Linked DNA regions of Saccharomyces cerevisiae S288C. The protein of the gene in region 2 interacts with the protein of the main gene of each other region in a pairwise test. Each region holds a gene or a part of one and is shown on either strand. Other genes may lie near its edges.

Region 1 (4,720 bases), on a different chromosome or scaffold from region 2:
GACTTCCATAAACCGTACGTAACCAAGGTTTAACTTCTTCTGAAGTAGTCATTTTCTCCTTTGGACGAACGACTTGTCTTGCACCATGAACATGTTGATAAAGCGATGCCAAAGAAAAGAAGATAAGTATACTATCGTGAAATCTCATTATTCCGCAATTCCTTCAGATCCCGCAGAACTGCTTCCGACTATATTGTCTTAACCTTTTTGCTAAAATATTTTGTTCTTCAAAAGTAAAGAATAGCTTGCTGAGAGAAATGCGTCGAATTGCCTTTCTTATTTTTTTCATGATCTTTTATTCCTTTTCAAAATGTCAACGGCAAAATAATATAATTTCGCCCTTTTCCCGAGATAATTTCACAAAAAAAGCCAACGAACAATTCGAAAGGCGTTTAACATGAATATACATATATACCTGTGTATATTCATAAGATATTGAGAAATGAATCCATGAAACTCATACTGCAGTAGTTGTTACGATTTATAATGCTCTATAAATTACATTAAATGCCTTTATATACAATAAAAATGCGCTAAGAGTAGGTGACTTATTTTGAATCAGAAACTTTTTGCTTTGCTACAGCGGCTGCATTAGTGACAACTTCTTGTAACCATGAAAGTTCAATCCTACTAACATTTCTGGCATATCCCTTCGTAGTAAAGACATACTCCGTGTACATTATACCGGGGCAGCTTTTATTCATAAATAGCATAGATGATGGATGAATGCTTATCGGCTCTCCAGTGGAAACAGTTCTATAAGACCTGTCTGGCATCCCTATAGCTGTATTCTTGATAAACCCAGTTAAGAAACACTTTAAAATTTTCGAAATTAGCTCGCCATCTTCACCAATCTTTTTGGATTCTTCATCCTCTTCACTGATTGAAGAAAACAAACGCTTACAATAAACTCTTAACTGGTCTCTGACACGAATTACATTTTTAAACCCACGTATCGAAATACACAATCCTTTACACCAATCATTTCTTTCAGAGCTTGCATCTTGACTTTTCCCTAGTTCGTAGAAATAGATATCAAAAAGCTCTTTCAGCATGATAAGGTCACCATACCTTTTACCAGCGTTGCATAAGGACAAACGACGCTCGTTCACCTCATCTCTTTCTTCTGGTGACGGATTCAACAGTAAATTTTCCACACTAAGGCAAGAGACGATATCAATGACCTGACTCAAACATCCGACTTCACTGGCTTTAATTAAGACACTACTTAAATGCGGTTGTAGCGGTAACAGAGCCATTTGTTGACCCCGTTTAGTTATCTTTCCACGAGTGTCAAGAGCACCCAATTCATAAAGTTCCTGAAGCCCCATTACTATAGCTTCCTTTCCAGGGTTCTCAAACCAGGTCCAGTTTAGCAGGTCATCAACACCATATCTCTTCAACATTAACACAGGAGATGTGACGTCACTTCTGGCTATTTCAGGTTCACTTTGTTTAGGTAATTTCACATAATCAGACTCACAATAAAGCCTGAAACTCTTTCCTTCACTTTCTCTACCAGCACGACCACTTCTCTGCATCGCACTTGCCTGAGAAATGGGTACGGTAAGTAGAGTGGCTAATCCCAGCTGATGTCTCCAAACTTTGACTTTTCGAAGACCAGAATCAACGACAAATTTAACACCGGATATGGTAACAGATGTTTCTGCAATATTGGTACTAAAGACGACTTTTCTCTTGAAACCCTTTATCGGAGCGAAGACCAAGGACTGTTGGACCGCGGGAAGAGCTGCATATAAAGGATAAGGAACTATTAATGGTACTGGGGCCTCATCTGAAACATACTTTGCAATTTTCTCCATTATAGTCACTGCTTTGTCAATCTCTTCTTGGCCCGGTAAAAAACATAAGATATCTCCCAGTTCTTCACCTTGGTTTATTTGTATACAACACCTGATGACAGCGTCTACTATATCATCTGTTGGCGCCTTCAAGTAGTATTGTTTGACATCAAATTTTCTTCCTTCTACAAATAAGATTGGGGCATTATTGAAGAACTCACTAAATTTTTCGGCTTGCAATGTTGCAGACATAACAATTATTCTCAAATCAGGTCTTGGCCCTTGTATCAAGGATTTTAAGAACCCCAATATCAAATCTGTAAGCACAGTTCTTTCATGCGCTTCATCGATAACGATGACGCTGTATTCTCTAAGGTCACTATTCATCATAAGTTCTCTAAGTAACATACCGTCAGTCAGATACTTAAGTCTTGTTCTTGTAGTAGTCGTATTGTCAAATCTGACAGAATAACCTACTTGTTCACCCAGTTTGCAACCATGTTCTTGAGCAACACGTGTAGCCAAATTGATGGCCGCAACACGACGGGGTTGAGTTACAGCAATCGACCCATGCTTCTTCGTATCATATAATTTTTCTAATACGAATTGCGGAATTTGTGTTGATTTACCAGAACCTGTTTCACCAATAAGGACGGTAACGGGATTGCTTTCAATATATGACATTATTTCTCGCTTGTGTTGGTAAACGGGAAGTGTTTCTCTCATTTTGAGTAAATCGCTTGCCCGACTTTTCAAAGATTTATAAGTAAGGACATTTTCCTTGTTCGAACGTTGGTCTGAAACATGGTCGCCCTCGCCTGAATCATTAAACTTTACGATTTTACTAGCTCTTTTAATCCGAGTGTTATTCGTGAATGGATGTATATTCCTCCTAACCTTTTGTTTTTTAGAAGTATGGTTTGATGCAACTCTACTATTGCTATTTGCTGCCATGATAATGTCTGCAGACTCTTGCAACCTCTTCTTGAGGAATTCTTACATATATATCATAACCTCATCTCATCTCATCGAGCAGAATTTTTTATTTTCAATTTTTCTCATTTTTCCAAATCATTGTAAACGAATAGCCGCCGAAGAAAAACGGTAGAAGAAAAGTACATCTTTCAGTCAGCATTATACGTACAAATTATTAGCGTTATCATCATGATTATAATTACAAAGATACTACACAGTTGTATCGTACAATTATCGAACTTAATTATAGTCAGCTTCCAGAAGAGGGACTTTTTGGAGTACTCGAAGTGACTTTTATCGAATGGAGGTTTAATCCCTTCTTGAACGGTCTTGCCACAAAAGACTCCTGTGATCCAGTGGTTGCTATACTGCTAGAAGAAACCTTTCTCGCGCCCCATACTAAAGGTTTTGAGGAAGTATTGGCTGACCAAGGGCTATTTGATATTTCAGAACCCTCCTCGATATGCAACATAGTATTTCCTGATGACGAGCTCATAGACCCTCTTCTAGGAGATGGGATTGCAGATTTATTAAGAGAAAGCTCTTTGACAGAACTTTCCAAAGATTTTATCCTTTCACTGCGTGTTTCAGTAAGTTTAGTGTGAGTTTCTAGTTCACCCTTTAAGATGGCGTTAGTAGTTAAAAGCTCTTGAATCTCTCTTTCCTGAAGCTGAATTTGTTCTAGTAGCCTAACGTTCATAGACTCTAAGGCTTCCTCTTTTGACTTTTTGTATTCTAACTCTTGCTGCAACTTAGAATTGGAATTCATCTGTCGATCAAAAGATAACTCAAGCTGAGCAATCTGTTCGCATCTTTTCGTTAATATTTCAGAAACTTCTTCGTCAATACGATTGTTAGGATCTTCATTGGTAGAACTACTCAATAATTGGGTAATACTGTCTAATTGAAGCTTTAGTTTGATATTTTCTTTCTTTGTATTTTCTAACATTTTTTTCTCGTCGTCTTCGGGAAGAGATTTATTGTGAAGGCTTTTTAAAGAGTCTATTTCAGCCTTTAGTATATTAATTTGGGCAACATAATTATCATCCTTAATTTTCATGTCCTGAATAAATAGATCCATTTTTTTTTTCAGATTTAAACCTGTGGTGTTATCTGTAACCTTGTTATTGATCTGTCTAATACTGTCACCAAATTCTAGTGTTGATAGGGTAGTTGGAACATTACTTAAGAAACATGTCAATATCACCTTTGTTTTCCTATTTCCCCCAAGGGAATCTTTTAACACTTCAGTTAATTGCGATTCACGGTAAGCAGAACTATGTGATCCTTTTGCGCTGTAGGCTGAATCACGCTCTTTCATTGACAAGGACCGCACAGTGTTTTTCAACGCCTCAATAGATTGGTTTAATTTTTTTAACGCATCTTGTGATAGCGTACTTTCAGTTCTTTTATCGAACTTCTCTGCCCCGTGTAAATCAACCAGATATAAAGAACTATTTTTTAATATATCATCTTTTCTATTCCTTTGTTCTACGTGTAATTGAAAAACTAGGTGTGATCTTGATCTCTCTGTCTTGTCGCCACATGCCATCCTATTGCCGACGTTTTGGACTGCCTGAATGTAGCTTCTTAAGTCTTCATACGATCCGACATGTGCCGGACAAATATCTTTGATTTCTAAGTCCATTTTGCTTGAAGAACGGTGAAGCTTTAATGGTTTTCTTTCAGGTAAAGGTACCAATAAGTCATACGTTTTCTCCATATATATTTCGAATGCCAAAACACTTACGCTAAAACTATCTCCCTTTGTTTCTTCATTTTTTTCTAGCGTATCAAACAAGGTCTTGCATATGTTCGGTAGAATTCCTTCGCTTTCTTTTGATCCAATAAGGGAATAGGACTTTCCGCTGAAACTTGGTCCATATGTTATTACAGTACCGTTATAACCATTCAAAACATCATTTATTATTGGATGCACCAGA
Region 2 (2,791 bases):
TCGGCTAGTAATCGGATCAGCGGGAGAAACATCGTACGTACACAAGAGAATACCGAGAGTGTCGATTAATCAACCACGCTCCATGAGGCTTATCCGCATTCTACTTGCATGTTAGCCGGGAAAAGACATAAATCATCTCAATTCTCTAGAATACTCTAGAGATTATGTAAAAGCGTAGCCCCGTAGATGATTAAATAATTTTCGGTTTCTTACCCCGTAACCACGAGTTGCGGTGTTTTTGCTTCTATCGGGGCAATAAGCGGGCGCTGCTTCTCGGGAATGTAAAAACTGTGCTTCCTACCATGAAGTAGTTGGATCTTGAAATGGGTTGGGCCGGAACAATATGCAAGTACTACAATCCTTGTATTCCCATATGATTATATTCCCCTTTGCATAGGCTAGTGTTTTTTTTTTCGTTCTTTTGTTTCTTCCGCTAGGAATAGTAGTGGCGATCTGCAGAAAGACGCTCTAAGGAAAAAGAGAGAATTTCGATCAGTCCCGTACACATTACTCTTGGGAAGTTCAATTCCTTCGGACGTAATCCACATACGAACTTGGCTCTCATCTGTTGTCTTCAAGCTGTTGCGGCCCTCCTCTTTCTCTCTGTTGTACACATTTTTTGACTTTCAAAAATATGCCGCTAAGGAAACATAACCCTTGTGTATGTGAGCTTGTAGCATATGATATAGTGCTCATTGGCATGTGACAAGAATTGCGTATGTAATTGAAGTTTGTAGTGTAATTTACGAAAATAGCCGCCCTTCTTCTTCATTAACGATTATTGAGCGTAATGATATAAGATACAACGGTTTATTTAGGGCTGCATCCATGAAAATACTTTGTAATAGTGAGTCGTCGCCTTGTTTGTTTATTCAATACAATGCAGTGTCTCTATAGTCTCCTCCTTTAGTTTCACTATCTTTTCTAACCGCCGAAGATATACGAGTGTTCTGAACGAAAAACGACCTTTTCAAACATAGAATATAATTGTATATATACATATACATATATGATACGCAGCCACATTCGTAGTATCTTTAAGACACTGCCTTTCAAAAAAGCTTTGGTATTTTGAAAGAAGATCGAAGCCAAGGAACCAGGACTACAATGAATTAGACGCTACAAAGTTTCTTAATTGGAAAACAAGGAGGGACAAGGAGGAGACTTTTACAGTAAACCAGAATGCTCCTTCACTGTTCAGTTATGTAATGTTATTGTTTGGAAGATCTGAAGAGAGGCATTTCCTACAACCTCTTGAATAAAATAGTGGAAGGCATTTACACAAAGAAGCCGTGCCACTTTGGTCCGGATTTTTTTTACCTAAAATCGTCTTAAATTGGCCTGTTCGATAGCTGTCATTTGTTTTAGATATTTATTTCCTAACGTCAGCTTTAGTTACAGTATGTATGTATCAACCTTTTAGTAAGACAATAATGATTGCATGTTTGATCCTGCTTTAAAGGCATTGGAAGTAACCGTAGTGGCCGCTGTTTCTTCTTGACGGCCTGTAATTGACCTGCGACGCGGGCAATTTCTAGCGATGAGATTGGAAAAACTAACGCATAAAAAAGATTTCAAGATTTATAAGATGTTGAAACAAATCCTCTTCTCACATCTACAGTTGATACAGTATACCGTATTATCTTTCCTCGGTAGTGTTCAGAATGAGTAGGGCCAAAGAATTACAAGAGAAGCTCAACTTGCAAGCGAAACTCCAGTCTACTTTCAGTAACAATACTGCTGCAGTTTTGGACTGGCTGAAAGAATCAGATGAAACCGGCATTAGCAATGATACAGAGCGTAACAAACAGTTAAAAGATCACAAGGAGTTGGAGGATGGTAAGAAGGCATTTTTCAAGCTTCCCGTTTTGCAGATTGGATCGGGCCTACACTTCCGCACACAAGATGACGCTTCCGCCAAAGAAGATATACATACGATTGGTGAGTTTATTGAGGGTGATAAAAAGGTAAGTTCGTTGGCAAAGAAAAAGAAAAGAAGTGACCCAGGGTTGCAACGAAATAATATGTACAGGATCACTAAAGATGATACGAAAGCCATGATTGCGCTTAAAAGAAAAATGAGGAAAGGCGAGAAGGAAGGACTAAGGAAGAAACAAGAGCATAGCAAAAGCAGCGTTTCGAACTCATATAGTGCCAGTGATGAAGAGGATGAAGATGCAGGGACAATGCCGCAAAAGTCCACAAAAAAAAAATTTGGTTTACTTTTTGATAAAAAAAAGAAGGCACGTAAATAATCTTAAACACTTATGGGCAGCAAAAAATGCGTCTTTCTTCCCTCGTCTGTTGTTTTATGTAGGGCGTAATGATGTTTGCTTGTCAACAAATGAATACGTACAGAAGAGAATTCTAGCCAAGGCAATTATTGCATACTGCAAGTACTGAGTACGTTAACGTTGCTAGAATAACATTAAATGAGATGTAGCAATGCAGATCCTTCCTCAGTAGGCTTAATGCTCCACTAGAATTTTTGACCAGCCACTATTTGCTTTTTTCGCAATCCTTTTCAATACTCGAGAGCAAAGACAAAAAAAATAAGACATGTAGTGCGCTGTATGGAAAAGAATTAATTAGAACTTTACAAACGCGTGTTAAACAGGCATATTTAAGTGTTTGGACCTAAACAATATATCGACTATTGAAATTCTTACGCAAGATTTTTTATAGTTGGATATTCATATATTCTTACAACTCTCTCTACTTTCAGTTTTTTGAAGCTATATGTATCATTATATACGTTTATGGATTTTTCAAACCTAAACAATTATACTGC

The links. Proteins that work in one complex are often made in the same cells at the same time.
Region 1: the proteins of NOP19 (region 2) and DHR2 interact in binary tests that used the Saccharomyces cerevisiae proteins (3 or more experiments, as listed by UniProt).

What each region holds. Positions count from the first base shown.
Region 1 is NC_001143.9:286,881-291,600, reverse strand, and holds DHR2 (RNA helicase), read right to left. Parts: upstream 2,757-4,720; coding exon 549-2,756; downstream 1-548. Other genes in the region: PSG1 (Psg1p), read right to left, coding at 1-148; SMY1 (Smy1p), read right to left, coding at 3,028-4,720. UniProt on the Saccharomyces cerevisiae protein: Probable ATP-binding RNA helicase. Required for 18S rRNA synthesis.
Region 2 is NC_001139.9:993,975-996,765, forward strand, and holds NOP19 (Nop19p), read left to right. Parts: upstream 1-1,664; coding exon 1,665-2,255; downstream 2,256-2,791.